Alligator mississippiensis: one gene and its partners. Each later gene encodes a partner of the first gene's protein in a complex. Links are inferred from orthologs where the notes say so. Each region holds a gene or a part of one and is shown on either strand. Other genes may lie near its edges.

What was found.
Region 2: the proteins of GNA13 (region 1) and ADGRD1 are in contact, whole or in part, in a cryo-EM structure (PDB 9V0U), measured with the Homo sapiens proteins. The link is inferred for Alligator mississippiensis from reciprocal best matches to the Homo sapiens genes GNA13 and ADGRD1. Residues at the interface, in NP_006563.2 of Homo sapiens: Val49, Val216, Phe218, Phe359, Val362, Lys363, Asp364, Ile366, Leu367, His368, Asn370, Leu371, Gln373, Leu374, Met375; in NP_942122.2 of Homo sapiens: Asn599, Arg601, Leu657, Met660, Val661, Ile662, Val664, Phe665, Ser667, Val737, Ile738, Ile741, Ala761, Val764, Asn810.
Region 3: the proteins of GNA13 (region 1) and GPR4 are in contact, whole or in part, in a cryo-EM structure (PDB 9JHP), measured with the Homo sapiens proteins. The link is inferred for Alligator mississippiensis from reciprocal best matches to the Homo sapiens genes GNA13 and GPR4. Residues at the interface, in NP_006563.2 of Homo sapiens: Arg47, Pro341, Tyr343, Phe359, Lys363, Asp364, Ile366, Leu367, His368, Asn370, Leu371, Lys372, Gln373, Leu374, Met375, Leu376, Gln377; in NP_005273.1 of Homo sapiens: Gln45, Asn50, Arg115, Ala118, Val119, Ala120, Pro122, Leu123, Ala126, Ile204, Val208, Ser211, Val212, Ser213, Thr214, Glu218, Lys221, Ile222, Leu225, Asn290, Glu291, Gly292, Ala293.

Annotation. Positions count from the first base shown.
Region 1 is NC_081831.1:4,634,381-4,641,950, forward strand, and holds the start of GNA13 (guanine nucleotide-binding protein subunit alpha-13), read right to left. Parts: upstream 3,011-7,570; 5' UTR 2,981-3,010; coding exon 2,698-2,980; intron 815-2,697; coding exon 588-814; intron 1-587. UniProt on the Homo sapiens protein: Guanine nucleotide-binding proteins (G proteins) are involved as modulators or transducers in various transmembrane signaling systems.
Region 2 is NC_081833.1:9,606,078-9,613,313, reverse strand, and holds the start of ADGRD1 (adhesion G-protein coupled receptor D1), read right to left. Parts: upstream 3,023-7,236; 5' UTR 2,414-3,022; coding exon 2,348-2,413; intron 2,252-2,347; coding exon 2,215-2,251; intron 1-2,214. UniProt on the Homo sapiens protein: Adhesion G-protein coupled receptor (aGPCR) for androgen hormone 5alpha-dihydrotestosterone (5alpha-DHT), also named 17beta-hydroxy-5alpha-androstan-3-one, the most potent hormone among androgens. Also activated by methenolone drug.
Region 3 is NC_081838.1:377,192-384,363, forward strand, and holds GPR4 (G-protein coupled receptor 4), read right to left. Parts: upstream 2,831-7,172; 5' UTR 2,004-2,830; coding exon 948-2,003; 3' UTR 504-947; downstream 1-503. Other genes in the region: EML2 (echinoderm microtubule-associated protein-like 2), read right to left, coding at 6,227-6,352, 6,551-6,681, 6,759-6,854, 6,927-7,014, 7,099-7,172. UniProt on the Homo sapiens protein: Proton-sensing G-protein coupled receptor activated by extracellular pH, which is required to monitor pH changes and generate adaptive reactions. Activated by an optimal pH of 6.8-7.2.

The DNA of each region.
Region 1 (7,570 bases):
TTCACCAGAAAAAGATACCTGCTTGCATGAAAATGAATGCACTCGCATGAAATTGAAACAGGAAGTATATGCAGGGAATGACTACAAGACTGCACAAATGGGAATAGAAAAGAATGGTTTTAAGACCTGGTAAACTAAAGAAAACTGTCTCAGAGGAAAAAAAAAACCCAATTAGTATGCATTCCTCCTTTTCTCTTCTGCAAAATGACAAAAGTATTTTTATAAGTTTCAGTGAACCAGCAGCAAAGAATGAGATCACATTTCTAGTTAATACACTAGAAAGAGCCATCTAGAATCAAATCACAGGTCTGCTACAGAAAACTCATTAAAATGGGCATACAACCTGTCTGCACCTCAGTGCCCTTGCTGGTAAAACAGAAATAATATTTCCTTTATGGGTGAGCTAATTTTGATTTACTCTTCTTGTTAACAGCATTAAAATGAAAACTTACGTCAGGCTGCAATTCCACGAGCTAAAAACGTTAAGATATGTCTAAGTGTCCTCAGAAAGAGACAGAGTCTATTTCACTGGAAAATGAAACACTGTTTTACAATCTTGAACAACAATACTGAGAAAACTGTCTTACCAGCTGGAATTCTCTGCGTCTGTCATAGGCGTTCTGGATACCACTGTCTGCCCACAGTGCTCGTATTGCTGGAAGGTACTGTAAAAAAACCCGAGTCTCCACCATCCCTTGTGCCACCATGGCTGACCGAGTATCAAAAGCCATCATCATATCCCCATTACTCTGGTTGGCAGGAACTCCCCAGGGAATGTGAAGTTTCTCTCTGGCATCTACCAGGACTCTCACACCTTTAATAAAAAGGAAGAGCCATAATTAGTGTTCTCCCAAATCTGCCATGTCTACTTATCACACTAGACCTTAGACAGACTTAAACACACATGTACTTTTGACTTATTGTGTAGTCCCAGTAAAGCTAATGGGACTACTTGCACAACAGGAAGTTAGCATATATGATGCCTTCACAGAGCTGAAATTCTAGCTTTAGAGCTCCGTTTCAAGGTAACATGGAAATTACAGTTATTTGTAGTGAGAAAATTAGTTATATACTTCTGAGATTGTTAATGCCAGTTTCTGGAAAAACATCTAGTTTGTGACAAGGGCAAGAAAAGAAGAAAAATAATGTCCTCATCGAGAATTAAAACAGTGGTTTTGTGAAGTGCACTTCACAAGCGTTATCCGTTTACCTTTAACGATGTATACTGAAGTTAGTAAACGAAACTCATCTACAGAATAAACAATCGATACTAGCAAATAGTCTATGCTTTTGTTTGAACTCAAGAACGAGTTTATGGCAGTTTAGTTCACCTAGCAAGAATACAAGATTTCAAGCATATAAATTAACTATGCTAAGCACTATTTAGGAATCCAGTGAACTGTTTACCACCTTACTTAAAGGCATTTCCTTCTCTTCACCCATTGTAATAAACTTGGTAGTTTTGCCAAAAGACAACGGCAATGTTCGTTTTCAGAAACAAAGGTAAACTGTATCGCATACAACTCATAAGGTGTTAAATGCTTTCTAAAAGGTACCTCAATTTGCCGAAATCCACACAACAGTTACTTGTGGAAAGAGTTCTGCTACAAGCACAGAACTTCCTAAGTCTTTCCTCCAAATACCAAGAAAAAAGCAACACCTCTTTAACGCTCAACCTTGGGCTTTAAGAGAAAATCTGTGCTTTTTTTCCCCCCCTGTACCTGTACTGCCTACCTGAGAACGGTGAGCTAATACTACCATTACAGTCTCTTAAAGCCCAAATAGGGGGAGGAAAACCAGCATGAAGAATCAAGGCCGGGGCTAGGTATATGGGAACAAAGTCTCTTCATCAAAGAAGCGTTCAACACACATGGCTACACCCTACACGGCTGCAACCTGCACCCCTAACACACGTGCTACTTTCGGTATCAAAGAGCGTACGACGCACTTTGGTTTTCGGAAACCGGTCGTCAGCCCTGGGGTAAAACTTTTCTGCCTGTCAAATGGCAAGGCAAAATTTGATGGTGATGTCTAAATATCTCATCGTTTCATTAACTACCTCATAGCCGAACTCTTCCCGGCCGCCTCCCCCACAGAGAGGCGGGCAGACAGCCCTAACCCTCCTCGGGAGGCAGCCCACATGAGCGCTCCCAAGGGCCATTTAGGAGTGATTTAGGAGCCCGAGTCCCACTCCCACTCCTCCGTGACTCGACCCCAGCGAGATGTCCCCCCCCACAGGGCACTGCTGGATGGATGGATGGATGGATGGATGGACGGACACCGCCCATCTCAGGTGCCTCGGGGATTTCCAAATCAGCAATTGACGGCCGGCCACGAGGGTGTGGGGCCGAGCAGGAGGCAGGCAGGAAGACCCTCCCGCACCTCCACAACGAAGGCTACGCACACCTTACTCGAGGAGGCGCGGGTGTAAGGCAGGAGTGCACACCCCTGCCCTGGTTGCTCAGGGAGGCGTGCGGGGAGGGCGTACGTCTACACGGACGCACACACGCACGCCTGCCTTACACCCTCACCTCCCAGATTCAGGTAAAAAGGGGCACGCGTGTACATATACGTGTGGGGCTCCCCACACGCCTCCTGCTGTATAGGTACAGGCTCTGAGAGGGGCTATGGTAGGTGTGCGTGTGCAAATACACACACACGCGCGCGCGGGGTGGAGGGGGGGGGGCCGGTCCGCACCTTTGATGACGTTGCTGTAGATGGTGGCGCGGAACTCCTCGCGGGCGGCGCGGTCCCAGTCCTGCCCGTGGATGATGCGCATCTGCTTGAGGAAGGTGGATTTGCCGCTCTCGCCGGCGCCCAGCAGCAGGATCTTGACGAGACGCTTCACGTACGTCTTCTCCTTGCTGAGGCACTTGTCGATCTCCTTGGACTTGCGCTGCTGCTCGGCCTCGCCGCTGCTCAGCAGGCAGCCGGGGAAGCAGCCCGACAGCGCGGAGCGCGTCGGCAGGAAGTCCGCCATCTTGGCCAGCACTGCCAGCGAGGGAGGGAGCGGCCGCCGCCGCCCGCCACCTGCGCATGCGCCGCGCGACCGGCTGGACCACGTGACCGCGCCGCCCCCGCGTCACGTGAGCCGCGCCAGCACCTGACCGCCCTCCCTGCCGCGCCCCGGCACCCGTCACGTGACAGCATCCTGGCTCCTTCCGCACCACGTGACGCCGCGCGGGGCAAACGGGCGCCGCATCGTTAGGGAAAGGCGGCTCTTTACCGCATTGCTCCGAGTAGCCGCACCCTAGTGCCATGTACCGTAGTACCACGCGCTCCAAAGCGCAGTGCTCTTGCTGCAGACAGGATCCCTTCTTAAGTGGATCTCGTAATAATAAATATTAAATTTATTAATATAAATAGATTATATATTTATATATATCATATTATATAAATATATTTGTATAATATAAATATATATTATATATTTATATATCATATTATATAAATATATTTGTATAATATAAATATAGATTATATATTTATATATTATATTATATAAATATATTTGTATAATATAAATATATGTTTATATAAATGTATTAATATAAATAAAGTAATATTAAATAATATTGTATATTAATATAAAAAGTATACATATTATATATTTAAATATGTTATATCTTTATATAAATATATTAATATAAATATAAATATTATATAAATATAATGGTCTAGATAAAAGTGATTGCTCAGTTCTAGAGTTGGGCATCCTTTTTTGGCCCCATCCCCCCCATGGGTCCTCGGCGGATCTTTGATCAAACCTGGAAAACATTGTTCTGTGTAACGTGCGCCCCTGCAAAACGTGTCCTGGCTTTCGCGGCAGCCCGTGCAAAACAAATGGCGCTCCGAGCATCTGGACCAAGGCTGGGGTCGACCGTCGGCACTTCCCGATGGCTGAAATAAAAACCGTGCTTCCACCCGGATGACCCAGGTCTCACCCCCTGCACGCCTACAGTGAGCAATATCAAATAAATCACTTATTGGCATCTTTTTGCAGCAGATACAATCCTTTCAACCATCCAATATTACATTTTTTTCATATTTAAGACCTGGCAGCGCTGGTCCTACCCTGGCACCGCGACGTCCCACTGCAAGCAGGAGGGATGAGGTGTTTACACAGGGCTGGGGATTGAACCCAGGTCCATCCAGCCCGTGGGGAGAAAGTGCTGCAAAGCAGCAGGGTCCAGATGGGTGAAAGCCGCGACTGGGGTAAATGAGGTTCTTTGGGTGAATTTGATATCTTTTATTAGACCAACTTTAATACCAGATTTACCCCAAGAACCTTGCCTGTCTATGTGCTGTGACCACCATGGCTGCAACCGATACCCCAGCGGGGGTAAAGCACAGTCTGCAGCCCCCTGCTCCAGCCCTCCCAGGTGCCCATCAGCTGTGGATGGGGGAAGGGGGTGAAGGAGCCATTGCTGCAAGGTGCCAGAGGTTTCTGCAAGGCTGGCGGTGCTGCCGGGGCTGCAAACCAGGCGCATTGGGTCCCATGAGGGACGGCACAGCAGCAGCACGTCGGTGAAAGCAAACCTCTTCCTGCCCAGTTCCTCGGCCGCAGCTTGAAGGAGGTGGATTTGCAAATGCACTGGACCCCGCGTGGTCTTGTTGCCGTCCTAGCTCCAGGAGGCTTTCTGGAGAACCGCGCCGGCCTAGCTAGGACTGCACTGGAGATCTGGCTGGCAAAACACGCTGCCCCTTCATCCCAGCTGGGAGAAATGCTCTAAAAATGGCCTGAGCTTAGTGCAAAATTAGTTTCCGCATGTGTGTCTATGTGTAATACTGGGAGTACTAGACTTACAATGGGATACATGGGAAAACTATATTGTGAGGACAAAGCTATTAGAGGTTTTCTTACAAGGAAACAAAAATTGAACTTCCCCATCAGCTTCTTTGCGTGTCCAAGCACAATAGGAAAAAAACAACAGTCAAGTTGTAGCAGAAGAAAAGCCCTGACATGCCTCTAGCCTTCTCTTCCCTAAGAAGAGCAGCAAGCGCTTCCAGGATTTGTTGGGATGAACGCAGCCAGGCTATAGAATTGCCTTGTGCTCAGGTCTCCAGGCACTGGGATGGTTAAACAGAGGTGGGGAGAGGAGGTAATGGGCACTGACCTCCAGGATTTCACTACTAGCTCACAGTACAGAACCACACTTCGCTGAAGACTGAAAGCTTAGACCCATGCAAGGTTGAAATTGCACGTTTGACTGGAAACAGCTCTAATCCCGGTTATTCTTACTCATCATCTGCCTATCACCATGGAAATTTAGGCTAATTGCAGCCAGATCTTGAGATGATATAAGTGGCTACAACTCCATTTCCGTTTGTGCAGGTATTCAGATTTGCTCTAGTTGAAGATCTGGCCTATAAGTGTAGAGACCAAAAAAACTGTCTCCTTTTTTGTATTATTCCACTGATGGCTCAAAAGAGATGGGTTGCGTTGGTCAAGCACATACAGAAAAGCCGTATTTCGCATGCTTGCACACAGGCATGTGCATTCACGCACATACACAATCTCAGTCAATCGGGTATTATCAGTGATATTCCTTAAACACCAACCCACATCAAACACTCATGACTCTTAAAAACAAGCAGACAAGGTTCTTTGGGTGAATCTGATCTCTTTTATTAGACCAACTTAAATAGTTGGAAAAACATTTTTAGCAAGCACGTACTTGGGTCACATGACTCAAAAACATGCAGCGAATACTCATACGCACTTCACATCATTCAAACCTGGCACTGTTTAAGCCATCCTACAGAAAATCTGTGTATACATATGCACACACATGTATGTACACACACCCACTGATTATATCAAATGTTCCCTTTCTCTTCCCCCAAACCCTAACTTTGGCACCCAGTACTTTCCTCTTTGCATACTTTTTTTTTTGCCTTCTGATCTCTTGATAGTATCATAGAGTTTTAAAAAGCTGAAGAAGAAAAATGGCTGTGGAAAACATGACACTGGCTTAGTGTTGGGAAACTCTGCTTTAATGAATGGAAAAACTCTTCCCCTGAAGTCAATAATAAAAAGTAACCAAGTTTCTATCCTAGCATGGTGAGCGTGCTCTCTCCCACAAGGCTCTGTGACAGTCAGCGTGTTAGATTTATTTTAGATGGTGCTTATAAAATCATCTATCGGTAGACAGCAGTACCCACCTTTATAAAATCCCTATAATCACCTGCTAGCCTGTGTGCAGCAATGGGGGGTCAGAAGCTCTTGAGTTCTGGTCCAAGACCTGGCACTGACTTCCTTTTCTGGCTGGACACAGCTCAGAGCATGATTTTAATTACTGTCAAGGTGTTTCCAACTCCCAGGGGTTTCATGTGGAGTTGTGGATGCTCAGTGACTCTGAGCCTTTGCCCTTTCTCTTTGGCTCTTTCTCCATCTGTACATCTCAGCACTCTGCCAAAGCGAGGACATGTTCCTGCCCCAGTTTACTGACAGGAGCAGCAAGCAACACGCAAGTCAAGGCTAAAACTGCTCTGAATTTTGGCTTCCTCCATTGCATGAGTGCGTACCCTGAGCCTGCTGGTAAGAAAGTGCTGCAGAGACGAGGAAGGGGCAGACCCAGGTGAAGAAAATCCTTGTGACCCCAGCAGAAGAAGGTAACTAAGCTCCCAGCCAGAGAAGGGGGCTGCACCACCCACCATGCCACATACCGACATGCGCTTGGGACCATTTAAAACCAGGATGGCTGAGCCAGAGTTCCCCATTGCAGGAGGCATAACTGTGCTCCCGTGATGCCTCCCGGCCATGTAACACAGCAGCATCCTCCCGCTCCCATCACCAGAGCCAGCTGCTCTCTGCAGACAAGGATGGATTCAGGGGAGAAACAGAAATAGCTATTTTATTATAACACAGGCTGTTCAACCCCACGCCCGGTTCAGTCAGGCAGGAGCACCCTGGCAGCCGGCGCTCTTGCCCAACGGGATCTTGGTTTTGCTGTCTGCGCACTTTTCCCTGCTTCGCAGTTTCATTGTTTGCCTTCCTCTTTGCCCTTTGTCCCCTCCTGCTCCTATCCTGCCCTGCTTTTCTCCTACAGCTCATCCTGCCGCCCATGCACCTTTCCTCTCTGCCAGGCCTGGGACTGCTTCCCCTGCCCACACTCCACTTTTGGGGGTCTTTTCTCCCCAACTGTCACTCCTCCCAGCAGCTCTAACCATCACTCTCCCGCTGTCCTTGCTCCTTCCCCACTCCTAACTGCTGTCGCACCCATTGCATCCTGCCACTCCGCTCCCCAGCCAGCTGTCACTGCCGCTCCATCTACACAGCCTCTGACCCAGTTGTCACTCCTGTCGGTCCACATTCCCAGCCCATGGCCGCCCCCCATCCCAACTCTCATCCTTGCTCCTATTTGGGAAACCCTCCCAAGCCTTGTCTCTCTCGCACGGCCGTCCTCCACCTGCCTCTGAGCTGAGGCTCAGGGGAGGAAATGGAAAAGAGAAGAGAGGTGGGTGGAAAGGCAGGCTCAGTAAGGAAAGCAAGAGAGCTCAGCATTGCTCCATCTCCCAGTAATACTCCAGTTACCCCCAACAACCTGCCACAGCCTGCAAGGGAGTG
Region 2 (7,236 bases), on another chromosome or scaffold:
AGAGAATATGAATAGATGCCAACAGCTGTGCCAGGACATAATGAGACACTTGATTGTTATAGTTGTATTACACTAGCATCCAGAAGGCCTAATTGAGATCAGGGCCCCATTGTGCTTGGCATCATCCCAACATATAGGGAGAATCTCTACCCTAAACGGCCTACAATTAACAGAAAAGATAGACAAAAAGTGGGAAAGCAAACAGCAACACAGAGAAGTGACTTCCCCAGTGTCGCACAGAGCAGGACAGCGACAAAGTGAGGACTAGGACACAGGTTCCTTGGATTTCCGTCCAGTACTTTATTTTCTAAACCAGGGGTGTCAAAAATACAGCCCATGGGGCAGATCCAGCCCACAGAGTCATATTGTCTGGGCCACAGGGCCCCTGGAAGGGCCAGAAATTGAGGGATGAGAGCAGGAGCGTGGCCCACCACCAGAATCTGAGATACAAGGCTCTTTTGGGGATGTGTGTCAGGAGCAGGGGGCAAAGGGGCAGGCAGATGAGGGAGTTGGCGGGTAATAGCTACATAAACCCCCAGGGATCCCTGATGTGCTCACCCCACCAGTACGTCTAGATCTAACCTGCAAGGAGCCCTGCATTTTGGATCCAGCCCAGGACAACTTTAACACTCCTTCTCTAAACCATGCTCAGAGCCAATCCAGCCTGAAGGAGCCTCCAAAAAATGCCAGCAGGTTGAAAACCACTGGTATGCCTGTTCACTTGGATTTCCTTTCATTTCTGTTCACTTAACTTTCCTTTCAATTTATAAGTACAAAATTACTATGAATCTGTTTGCTGTACATGCTGGACCATGTATGATGGGAAGATTACATCATAGTGCAAATCAAGATAGAATCATTTAGAGCAGTGATTCTCAGCCAGGGTGCCTTGAGATCCTTTCAAGGGGTGTTGCACGGGGTGCTGCACAATATTAGTACTGTTAGTTGTGCAAACATGATTCACAAGATAAATTCAGAGTTTTCAAATAGTGTTTTTTACCCACAGTGTTAACAACATCCCGACTTGCTGTGGTCTTTCTGAGTTCTTTGCAACAGAAGAATTGTTCTATTCTTTTTTTGTAGTCAAAAAGCAACGAAAACTAAGAGCTGGCATTTTTTCAAGGGGTACCTTCATTATATTGAGGGGTGCCTCAAATCTATCAAGCGGTGCTTTGACTCTTAAAATGTTGGGGACCACTGATTTAGAGCTTAATATTTCTAGGTCCCCATCCAAACTGGGGACTCTTTTATAACTCTCCTCCCCCTGCAATACATAATATTTATATACAGCCTATGTTTCTTCTATTGCTTCTTAAGCAACAGGTCATTCATCCTTTTCTATAGGAATTGACACAATATGTTAATGTTTACCAGATGAAGGGGAAACAGAAGAAACTGATATGAGCAAGGGCACTAGCTTACTCACATACGCTGTTAATTAGGACTCAGATAACAGGGTGGGGATTCATGTATTGCAACAGGACGGAACAGGGCTTCTCCTGCAGCATGCAGCAGTTTTCTTTGAAAGCTAGTACTTCTGGGCAGAAATTAAAAGCACAGGGCATTCTGTGGATTGCTTAAACTGTAAAATTGTACTTGTACACCACCATGAGGCTTGAGGCTAAACTATTTGTGCAAACAGAAGATCTTTCCAGTTACACACACAGCAAATAAGTTTGAGTGATTTTCGCATTGAAAACAGATGACAAGAGCTCAGAAGAAAAACATGCTGCGGTTCCGTCCCGAGCAATCTACATTTAATCATCAAAGGCTTTTAAATGACTGGAGCCACACAAATGCAATGTAACATATGTGAACTGGCACTTCTAGCCGCAAGTCAATGAATTTGAAGTGCTGAACACTAGCACGTTGTGGTGAAAGAGAAAGTAATCTCTGTGTAAATACAATTCAAAGACCAACTCAAGTGAAAAAAACCGTAAAAAAATTCTCATGCACAAAGGTGGTAGCCTATTCTGTGAAATGTGCACAGAATTTATTTTTGTATTTCTTTTAATACAAGATGTCACTATAGGGAGACCTGAACTTTTAAGTAACTGCAATTGTCCGGCACTAGATTTTTAGTATGGTCTTGTATGATCCCTTGTAACAACTAAAAAAATGAAATATAAACCAGAAAACAAAAGGTTTGCTAAATAAATATACTGTAACAATTAAGCACGTGGTAGTATCAATGATAAATAACAATGTCCTTACCTGGGTGTTTAGGTAGCCTGGAATAGTTTCCATACACCTGTACATAAAATATGACAGAATAAGACAATGTGAAGCAAAAGTTTTTAAGAATAAACAGGAAAAATCTCACTGTTACCCAAGTTCTGAATATTACCTGATATTTAGACTGAAATAAAATCTGCAGCAAATAATAACAGAGCAGAGACAACAAATTCTTCATGGTCCTTTTGCGTTTTCAAGTGCAATTGAGATCTAATTCCTGGGAGATTTCAATCATGAACACAAGTTCTCCTTTGCTACTTTTTTTTCTTTTAAAATCTGCATTTTCCACACAGGTTCAGAAACTCCATTCTTCCAGTGAGAAAGCAATATATTCTTCCAGAGCCTTCATGAATATTTGCTTGCTTTAAATGTGGATCACTTGAATTACCAAAAAACACATAACCATGACTGGAGCAAAATCATAAGATAAAAATAATAAGATCCAAAAATTGTGCAATTGCACAGAAAGAATGCAAGTAGTTCTGCTGTTATTTGTGCCAAAAGAAGAGATCTTATTTTACAATGTTTGCTGTCTGTGGTTTTCTTTTTCTTTTTTTTTTCTTTTATCCAATTATTTTTACTTTGTCAGAGATCTGAAGCCAGTTTTGGTTCTCATCATAAAAAAGTAGCCCCTTCTGCTCCACTGGACATCTGACTCTCACTGTGTCCTTAGGAATTGGATTGAACTGTGTTGCTAGCTCCTCGCTTGTCTGGCTCACGTTTGTACCTCCATCCCAGATCTTTTTGGGTGGAGAGTAAGTCTGAGTGATGTCATGCTTTCTTCTCAAACTTTGTCCCATTCTGGTACTCTATTTATATCGTGTTGCTGCTGTCTCTTTTCTGGGTCCTAACACCAGCCTGCTAGGAACAAGCGGAAACAAGTTAATGCGGTTCAGAAAGCAGATTAAAGAGACCACAATAAAAATTATTTATTGCAAGTTTGCACATTCAGAGAAGGAATGAAGCCAGTACAAATACTCGTATCTCCAATGCCTAAAAAAACATAAAATACATTTAAAGCAGAAGTTTTATGAAAGAATCAAGAGCCATTTATTAAAATAATACTTTGTATTTCTTCAGAGCTTTCTCTCCATACATCTTAAACCCTTTCGAAACATTAATTAAGCCTCATAACACTCTGGTGCAATAGAGGATATTTACTATGCCTATGCATAGAAGGGGAAACTGAGGCATCAATCATTTGGCTTGTTCAAGATCAAACAAAAAGCAATAGAAAAGCCACAAACAAAACTGGGATCTTCTAACCTCGAATCACAAATATTAGCCACTAGACCTTCAGCCTGTCTTACGTTTAGATAGAATAAATTAGACTGTACTGCTCGATTCTTGAGTAATCTTTTATCAGGGCCACTTTACAATTGTACCCTGAACTGTACTGCATTCATAGCAATTATTTATTTAATATAAAGATGATTAGAACTGAGATTATATATATAAAGATTAGAACTGAGCACCAATTTTCATTCACTCTTTTCTTTTCTTTTTAGATAAAAAAATACTTTTATTTCAGATTCATCGGGGGTTTTTTTTAATTTTTGTGATTTTGTTCAATTAAAAACCAAAAAAAAAAAATCCAAACTTTTTTTTCTGCCATCTTCCCCTCCCCCCCTTTCCTCCCTCAGCCTCAGAAACTCTCCCAAATAGTAAAGTACTTTAAACCAGAGGTAGCCACCCCGCAGCATAGGTGCCATACATGGCATGGGCAGTTTCTGTGTGTGTGGCAAGCAGCTGGCTGAGGAGGAGACGGGCTACACCCTGGCAGAGAGGGCAGGGAGCAGAAAACAGAGCAGGCAAGGGAAGGAAGTCAGTGGCACGCAGGGAGAGTTCAGGGCTAATTTGTGGCATGCCTATCAAAAAGGTTGCCCCCCACTGCTCTAAACCAGCTCTCAAATTGATATCTATTGATAGATTAAACAATGACAGGCCTTTGAGTGATGATGTTTCTAGGCATGTTACTGGCCCCCTATGCTTCACCACTTTTGTCCCTTGGATACTCGAGCTGTGCCTTCTCGGTCCAAGCCCCAGATAGTGCTAATATTTGATAACTTCCCTGACCCACACGCCCTCCAGAGCCCGATCTACGCCTGACTGGTGTGTGCCTTCACCCCTGCTCTTTTCTCTTCTAAGCCCTAGGCTAGAACTGGTCACAGTGAAATGTTTTTTGGGGGGGTTTTCCACATCAGAAAATACTGATTTAATAACAAACAGTGCATGGGAATATGTCAATTCTATTAAAACTTTCAATGGCCTCTAAGTTGACTGTCCAGCTACTTGGCTAGCCTGCCTTGCTTTCTCCTAACCCAACCACTAACCTCCCAAAGTAGACCTGAGCATGTAAACTTGCAACCTGCTGTGGGTCTCAGGTTTTCTAGGACTTCAGCGAGCACATTTCATTAAAAACACTTGCTGAAGCATCGTATTCGTGTTTCTAAAATTAAATATCATTTAACTTCAGTCCCTTGGGGGAAAAAATGGGTGTCTGGCTCTTCATCTCAAGTGTTGAGGGAAAACATTCTGGGAACCTGATGTTTTTCACAAAATTAATTCCCTAGCCAGCTCTTCCATAGACATAGGCTTGCTTTCTCCTCTTCTGATTTTTGCCGTACTCTTTCCAGACCTGTTTCTCATCCATTACAATTGGCCTCTATGCCTAGGAGGAAAATGAAGAACTTTGTGTATGCCCCAGATCTCCCGTGCCATTGAATGATCAGTATTGCCATGGGTAGAAACAATAGCTTCAGCTAAAAATAATGAGTAAAGCTAAATTGTCAAAAGAGGAAGAAAGGAATTTGAAATATTTGCCAAGTGGGGCCTGTTAAAGGAAAGTAGATGCTTGTAAAAAAAAAATGGTAGAATCCAAGCACCATGTTCACTGCCAGGAATTTTTGTGGAAACAGCAAATTATAAGCAGATATTGAAGATTATTTGCAGAAAGTAAGTTTTGAACTTATTCATGTGATACTTCAGGAAACCTGATTTGAAGTGTTTACTAATCCAACCAGAGAACAGAAGCAATGCCAGGTTCCCTGTGTCCAATCTAAGCTAACCAATCCCACCTGAATTGCAAAAGGCAGTTAATCAGAATGAACAACCTACAGACAAAGCACAATTCACAGAAAATACTTGGATAGTGATTTTGAGCAACAGCTAGATTTTTAAACAGTTTGTGGAAATTATTTTAGTAGAAAAGGCAAAATTAATTGAATTGGTTATTCACTCTGTTAGGTTAATTGAGAATAATGCATGAAATTCACCTAGTGGTGGAAGTCCAGGCGTACTTTCTAACTCCTCTTTGTGAGAAAGAAGGTGGTCGAAGCAGCACACCCATTAGCCAATGTATGCCATACTGACTCTGATCATTTCAAGCCCACAGTACAGCTCCTTCATAATCCTCCTTGCCTACTACTCTTATCAAGTAGCAGTATCTGCCCCTGCCACTAGGCACCTTGGTTCAGATCCAGAGGCCGTCCACTGCTCTTCCCTGTATTCCTCTTGCTTACTAGTATATTCAGAGTGGGCTAATTTCAATTCCCCATGCAGAGCATAAAGTCTGATTACTCCGACTATATCAGAGATCAGAGAGTTTTACCCTGTGCTGCAAAATTTTACTTGCCCTGGATAGAGACTTTTTTTAAATGTTCAAGCAAAAGATCGCTCTTTTTTCATTACAATCAGTTCTCCTGACATAAAGCTGCTGAGTAGATTTTGTGCCTGAGCTAGAGCATTGAGCCAGAATATTGGCTTTTTAAAATCACTTTCTTAAATGAAAAAGGATTTGAAAATGCAAAAACAGTGAGTTCTGTGTCCTCCCTGTATGGTGTTTCATTAATCTGTGCATGCACCTGTACATATAGTCCAGTGAACTACTTGCCAAATGGGCTGAGGGCTTATATCCAGAGTGGGTCCCTTTAGTGGCAGCCTCCACTGGAAAGTATACCTATCAAGTGGCTTTCTAATATTTGAATGGAGTCCCTGTGGTCTAGCAAAACGATTTCTGAGCAAATCATGGATTCTATTAACTGCTTAGTTACAGCTGAAACCAAAGGAAAAGGGCTTAGAAAATAGTATCACCACCACAGCCAGCAACTTGTAGCTTTTTAATGTAATATCTTCTGACTTTTCCTAGAAGCTTAGAAGTAACACGGAGTGTTTTAATTTCAGTTATGCAACAGAACAGAAAACAAACACGTGGGGCAAATGCAGCTTTCATTTGTACAACTCTCAGTCCAAAGTAATTTTTTTTAGATCACTGGAAATACTGGGGATTTACACTGGTGTAACTAGATTAAATTGACTCCTATACAGTCAGTACAAGACTCGCACATCGTTTAAGGCCTTCACGATGCACAGCATTTTCTCTAGTAAAACTATTTGGTTAGGAGCAAGATTTTTCCTTGGTACAACCCCAAAAGTGCATGAAGCTTTACTGACACAAAATATATTGGCACAGCTTATTTTTCTTCTCATATAGAAATATAGAACACCTTTATACCTATAGCTAAGGGGTCTACTTAAATCACAGAGAAACTAAACAATTTTTTCAAATTCTGCGGATATTCCCTGGATGTTCTCCAGCACCCCTGCCCCTCGGCACTGGTTGGCAGAGAGGCCTTGGCAGCTGCCACCTTGTCTGCTGCTCTTCATGCTGCTCTGCCAGCCAGCGCCGTCTCCCCTGCCCTGGGCAGGCTGTGAGGCTGCGCTGCAACAGCAGCAAGGACTGCTGGCCCCCACTGGGGAGCCAACATTTTATTTTTATTAAGTTTTTTTTTTAAGTTGATTTCACGGACAATGCTGGCTTTCAGTTTCCACAAAATCCGTAGAATCGTGAATTGAATATGCCCTGGCCTATGACTGGGTCCACTCACTGACAGCAGCATGCCACCTTCTTGATATCAGTAGGATATTTTGCTGTGGTCACTTCCAAAAGGAAAGCTAAAGCCTTTGTGAATGAATTATTCTTGCCCCGGTAGGCAGACAAGT
Region 3 (7,172 bases), on another chromosome or scaffold:
CCCAGCAGCACTCGCCGGGAGCCCTGACTCCTGCGATCTCCTTCCCGCTTGGACTCTGGGGTGACCTTTGCCCTTTCCCTCGGGGGCAGGCGTGTGCCCCGCGCGTGTGCCCCATGCCCCTCAGGGCTTGTGCAAGGAGGAGGGGGCTGCCAGGCTGCCTGGACTCCGCCAGCCTAGCGCCCTTTGGCCCCGGGGCACAAAGGTCTCTGGACCCCAACCTGCCTCTGCCCCAGGGGCACCCCTGACTTGACCAGCCCCCCCAGGAGCCTGTGACCATGCCCCATACCCTGGACCAGGGTGGTCAGCGGGTCCTGCCTCCCCCCAGCACCAAAAGCTGTGGCCAGGGTGGCGCCACGACAGGATGAGCCACGTGCCGCACCCATGGCGGGGGGGACACGCAGCCCCCAGCCCCGGCTGGTGTCACAGCGGCCTGGCACAGCACCCACTGCCTGCGGTGCTGGCAGCACACCCCTGGCACCCACAGCACGAGTCTGAGACTGGGGGGGGTCACAGCTGCTTTATTCATGGTGGGGTGTTGGGGTTCTCCAGCTTTGTTCCCTGCACCTGGCAGCCCCCCCACATACCCACGGGCACAACAGGGCACTGGCCACCCCCTGCCCCTGCACTGGAGCAGCTGGATCACGGGAGGGCAGAGAGCTGGGCCCCCCCTCACTGAACCCAGGTGTCTGGGCACACACACACTACCCAGCATCTAGGATACACTCCCAGAGCACACCTCAGAGACATGCACATGTGCACACACACACTACCACGTACACACACAACACTGTACTGCGTGCACACGTTCCCACACACACGCTCACAGACACTTGCACAGCTCACTTACATGCACGCCCCCTGGGTCCATCCGCCTGCCCCCCCCTGCCGCCCCCATCATCCCACAGAACCAGGCACCCTCGCCCAGCCCCACCTCGTCTGCATCCCATTCACACCTCAGGGGTGGGGGGCACCAGGATGTGCAGCTGGAGCTCCAGGTCATCGCCTGGCGTGGGGGCTGGCACGGGGGCGCCGGCCTTCTTGCCCGCTGGCGGCGTGTCCAGCGTGAGCCAGGCACCAGCCAGGCCGCGGCGGAGGCTGGCCAGGGCCTGGGCCATGTCATGCCGTGCGCCCTCGTGGGCCAGGCAGTAGAGCACGGGGTCGGCCAGGCAGTTGAGGCTGGTGACAGCCAGGGCGCCGTGGTAGGCGGCGAAGACGCGCTCCTCGAAGCCGCAGTCGCAGGGCCGGCCCAGGGACATGGCGCTGCGGCCCAGCAGCGCGGCGTGGTAGGGTGCGAAGCAGACCAGCGCGATGAGCACCAGGCTGCGCGCCAGGCGCCGGATCTTGGCCTTCTCCTGCTGCTCCGTGGCCACGTTGGCGCCCACAGCCCGCAGGATGCCGCGGTAGCACAGCAGCATCACGGCCCAGGGCACCAGGAAGCCCAGCACGGACCGGTACAGGTTGAGCCAGGCCAGCCAGGCCTCCATGGGGTAGCTCTCGAAGCAGAAGGTGCGGTTGCGGCGGTCGCGGAAGAGCTCGTCGTGGAAGAGCGGCGCCGAGTTGGCGCCCAGCTCCAGGGCCCAGACGCCGGCACTGACGGCCACGGCTGTGCGCACGCGGCGCAGGCGGGCAAAGCGCAGTGGGTGAGCCACGGCCACGTAGCGGTCCAGCGAGACGCAGCACAGGAAGGCCACGCTCACGTAGATGTTGGTGTAGAAGACGAAGCCGAAGAGCTTGCAGGCGCCGGGGCCGTGGCTCCAGTCGTCGTGGTGCAGGAAGTAGTCGGCCCAGGGCGGCAGCGCAGCCGCGTACAGCAGGTCAGCCACCGACAGGTTCAGCAGGTAGACGCCCAGCTCGTTGCCCTGCCGCACCTGGCGGCAGGCGGCCCACAGCGCCGCGCCGTTGGCCGGCAGCCCCAGCACCAGCACCGCGATGTACAGCGCCGGCGGGAAGAGCTGGTCCAGCTGCGAGCCCACGTCGCAGCGCGGCTCGCTGCGGTTGCACATCCTGGCGGGCGGGGTTGGGGGTCACAGCGTGGGCTGGGGGGCGGCCATGGGGCACGGGGTCCTGGGGGACACGGGAAGGGGGTCAGGAGGGTATGGAGTGGGTGAGCACACCCTGCTATGCCAGGCTGGATGTAGCCCAGCCGGGGCCTCCTTGCCACACGCAGCTGCTGTGCTCGCACACACCGATCCCACCATGCGGCTCACACCAGCACACGGACCCCGGGTGGCGCTGAGCCGCCATGCACATGTGGGCCGTGTTAACACGTGTGCTCACACATGGAGCCGGGGTGGCGGGGTGCCTCCAGCTCAGACCCCTGCGTCCACATACCCACAACGACACGCAAATGCTCACGCCTGCCCCAACAGCTGCCCATGCCCCTCAGCCCTGTGGAGCCCCCCCAGCACACGCACACACACGCACATGCGTGCTCCCGCCTTGCCCCTCCATGCGCCCCACATCCGGACATGCCTTGGGCACACGTGTGCACTCCCTTCCCCGCCTCACATGTGTGTTCCTGGAGCCTGTCTCCGCCACGCACTTCCACGCCTGCCCTGAGGACTCCCAGCTGCCCCCCACCCCCCCTCCCCCCGCTGGTGCCCCTCACTCCCAACCTGCAGCCCCCCAGGGCCCCCGCTGTAGGGGGTAAATGCCTTGCCTGAAGAGGCCCCCCTAACAGTGGGGGCAGAACCCACGCAACCGGGTGCCATCCCTGCTCTCCAGGCAATGGGGGCTTGGGGGGGAGTGGGGCCCAGTGGTGAGGGTGGGGGGCGTGGTACCAACACGACCTGGGTGCTCTAGAGGCTCGCTCCAGGAGGGGAAGGAGTCTCGTGGGGTACAACTGGGGGGGTGGGGGGGGCAGGTCTGGGATCCCAGATGCCTAGGCTCTCACTTGGGGAGGGGGGGGGCAGGAGGAGGCTGAAGGCTGGGGGGGCGGGGCAGGCTGGGGCAAGCAGGAACCCAGGCGGGCGGTTGCCATAACGACATGGGGGAGGCAGAGGTGACCTTTGCAGGCCCCAATCCCTGGGCACCCCCTGCCAGGCGCCAAAGGACACGAGCCAAGCACACGGCTCACATGTGCACACCAGGCTCACATGCGTGTGCACACAGGGTGGGGGGAGAGTGGCATTTGGAGCTTCCGGCCCATGGAAAATTCCATGCTGGGGGGGACGTGGAGGCCCCCGGGGTGGGAGGGGACCCAGGTGTCTCGGGAGGCTGAGCCGGCCGTGAGGACGGGGTCACCCCAGGACCTGGGGTCAGGCCTGGCCTGGAACCCAGGCGTCCGGGGTCCCTGAGCCTGCCTTCCCGGAGCTGAGGACAACCCGGGGGCCTGGGCACCCGGCCCCCCACCCTGCTCTCGCCTCCAGGCTCCAGCCAGGGGGGGTCCTGGGAGGGGAGTGGGGCCCAGAGGTGAGAACGGGGTGGGTGGGGGCCCCAGGACACCACTCCACGAGGGGCAGGTTTGGGGGGGGCAGGGAGCCCAGACACCTGGGTTCTCCCCAAAGCTGGGAGGGGCGTGAGGCCTAGCGGCCAGAGCCGGATGTCCTGTGCTGGACACGCCAGGCCGGCTCGGAAGGGACGTGACTTCACGGCGGTTCTGAGACGGCGCAGGAACGAGGACCCTGGCGTGCGTCCGTCCGGGCTGCTCCAGACATTCATCGCCCCGGGCCGGAGCCAGGGAGGAACCCAGGCGTCCGGGTGGGGGCTCCCACCCGCTCTGGAGCCAGGACGGGATGGGGGTTACTCCCGGGGGTCCCAGTGCCTGCCCAGCCCCTGCCCCCTACGGGTGGGGCTGGACCCATGGACACACCCATGGGGAAGGGGGTGATGGCCGCCCCCAGCAGAGGGGACCTGGGCATCCGGCTCCAGCCACGTGGTCAACCAAGGAGTCCCCAGAGCTGGGGGAGGACCCAGGGGTCTGGGCTGCAGCAGCGGGTGGGGGGCAGAGAACCAAGCATGGTTGTGCCCGGCCCTGGAGCCTGGCTGGTGCCCCTCACTCCTCACCCGCAGCCCCCCCCCAGCCAGGGGGGCAGAGCAGGTGGTAGATGAGTCCCAGCCACCCCCCCACCCGCCCCCTCCTTCGCAGCTCCCCCTTCCGTCCATCCGGCGGGATCCAGCTGCAATGAGATTAGCCCAGGCTGGTGCCGCTGCCCACCTGCTGCCAGGGCAGACGGAGCCGAGACACTGCTCACCCCCCCACCCCCTTCCCCCGCATCAGGGCCCCTCACTCCCGACCTGCCACCTCTGTACACCCCCAGCCCTGCTGGTGCCCCCCACTCCTGACCCACAGCCCCTGCCCCCCAGCCTGACCAGTGCCCCTCACTCCCAACCCACAGCCCCTGCCCCTCCAGCCCTGCTGGTGCCCACTCCTGACCCACAGCCCCTGCGCCCCCCCCGGCCTGCCCGTGCCCCTCACTCCTGACCCCGCCTTCCCCCAGCCCCACCAGTGCCCCTCACTCCTGACCCACAGCCCCCGTCCCCCCCCCCCAAGTGCCCCTCACTCCCGACCCGGATCCCCTGCCCACCCGTGCCCCTCACCCCCAACCCGCACTCCTGCCCCCCACAGCCCTACTGGTTCCCCTCACTCCTGACCCGCAGCCCCCTGCCCCCCAGTGCGGCCGCTGCCCCCCACTCCCGACCTGCAGCTCCTGCCCCGCTCCGGGCGCGCTGGGATGCGTCTGGCCCGGCGCAGGTAATAACCACGTCTGGGCTCGTCTGGGGGCTCTGGCTCGGGTCGGGCGTGCGGGGAGGGGCCGAGGCAGGGATGGAGCCCAGCAGCCCCCGCACCTTCAGGGGCTCCAGCCCGGGGGGGGGGGGGCTCCCGCACCCCCACTACCCGGGTCCTGTCTCCCCCCAGGTGCTGCCCCTGGGCTGGGCGATGCCAGGTGGCTGGCAGGGGTGGGAACCTGTGAGAGGGGCTGCGACCTTTCTGCCCCCCCAGCCCTGCCGGTGCCCCTCACTCCCCACCCACAGCCCCCCAGATCGGGGGTTCTCCAGCCTCGCCCCCCCATTTGCCCCGGGGAAGTTATACCCCGCCTCACTCCCGCCCCAGCCCCCCCGGTAATTGCCCCCCAGCCTGGGGCTGGGCGGGCTCAGTGGGTCCCCGGCAGCGCCCCCCCCCCAGGGGACATGGGTCGGCGCGGGAAGGGTTAACCGGGGGGGTGTTAACCCCTGCGGCGCCGGCCCCGCACGCGACTCCCCAGAGTTAACCCTCTCCTTGCTGGAGGGCCCGGACCCCTACCCCCCTCCACTCAGCCTGGCCCCGCCCCACAGGGAAAGGGGCGTGGCTATGCAAAAGAGCTTAAACGGGACGTGCTTGTGGCCGCGGGAACTGGCATCCCCCCAGCCTGGCGAGGGGGAGACCCCCAGGCACCCTCCCCCGTTGCTGGCGCGGCGCGGCGCTGTGCTGCGGGGGCTGTGCCCTGAGGACGTCCCCGGCCCGGCTCCCGGGTTAGGCCCCCGCCGGCCTGGCCCAGCAGCTGCGGTGCTCGGCGCTGCACTGGGCAGCGCTGCCGCTCCGGGATTGGACGCCGCCGGCTCCGCCCCCTGCCCCGCCAGCCAATCCCAGCCGGGGCGCCAGGCGGCTCCGCCAATCCCCTGCCCCAGGGCTGCGGCCACGACCGAGGTCCGGCGTGGGGCTCCGGCCGGGGCCGGGGCGGCCCGGACTCCTCAACTGCCTCCTGGTCCCGTGGGGGTTAATGGTCCCCGGGGGGCACGCGCTGCGCGGCTGTGGTGTGACACCCCTGTCGTCCTCCCCCCGCTCCCCGGGGGATCCAGCCCCCCGCCCGGACACACACGCACAGGCCTCGGCTCTCACGCACGTGCTTTATTGGGTGGGGAGGGACCCCGCACCCTCTTTGGAAAGGCAGGGCCCGCATCCCGCCGCACAGCCCCCCCCCAGTGCAAATACAATCAGCTGGAGCCAGCAACCCCCCAGGGGACTGGGATCAAGGGGACCCCCCCAGCTCCACCCCTGGGGACACCCCAGGCAAGGGGGGCAGCAGGATTGCACCCCCGTGCCTCAGTTTCCCCCCCATTCCCCATTACTTGCAAAAAGCAAGGGAAGCACGCCCACCCCGGCTGCGGGGTGGGCGGGGGGCCCTGCCTGGGGTCGTCTCCCCCCCCCACAAAGTGCTGCAGCCCCCCCCGCACCCCTGTGCAACCTCAAGCGCATTGAATACAGCTGTACTAGCCCCGCGGTGCAGGGCCGCGCGGGCCCCCCCGCCTAGACGAGGCGCCACTGCAGGACGCTGGTGTCGGAGCCGCCGGCCGAGAGCAGCCCCCGGTCCCCGGGCAGGAAGGCAACGTTGGTGACGTGGCTGCTGTGCCCCTCCGCCGCGTGGCTCGAGGCCTGCGGGGACACGAGGGTCACGGGGGTCTGGGGGGTCAGCGCGGGGCGGGGGAGTGGGGGGGAGGAGTGCTCTGCGGGGGGTGCGCAAAGGGACAGGGGCGGTGGGCGGAGCGCCCCGGCACAGGGGCGGGGCTCACGCGGGGCTGGCAGCAGGGGGCGGGGCGAGGGGCGGGGCTGGCAGCAGGGGGCGGGGCTCACCCGGGGCTGGCAGCAGGGATAGCGGAAGAGGCGCACGGTGCCGAAGTCGTCGGCCGAGGCGAGCAGGGCGCCGTCCCGGGAGCGGCTCACGGCGTTGATGTCGGTGCCGTCCGCGCCCTCGGGCCAGATCCCTGCGGGCAGGGGGTCAGAGCGGGCCGGCCCCGCCCCCGCCCCCGCCCCCGGCCCGGCCCAGGCCCCGCCCCCTTACCGAGCACGCCGAAGCCCAGCACGCAGGTGACCGTGGCCCAGTCCCGGTTCCGCACCGCGTCGGCACTCGTGATCTGGCGGCAGGTCGCGGGGTCCCCTGCGGGGAGGGGGGCGGGGTTCAGAGCGGGCCCGGGGGTCCACCCCCCATCCCCCCGCGCCCGGCACTCACAGTACAGGATCTCGTAGTCGCCCGAGTTGGTGACGAAGCAGCCGCCGTCGGTCGCCCAGTCCAGGTGCGTGATGAAGCTGGAGTGGCCCTGGGGGGGGCAGCGGGTGAGGGGAGCATGTCCTGGCCCCGCCCCCGCGGGAAGGGGTCCCAGAGCCCCCCCGGAGCCACCTACCGAGCACCTGCCCACGCGGCTGTAGCGGCGCCCGCCCTCGGCCACGGCGTAGACGTACACGAAGTTGTCGTGGG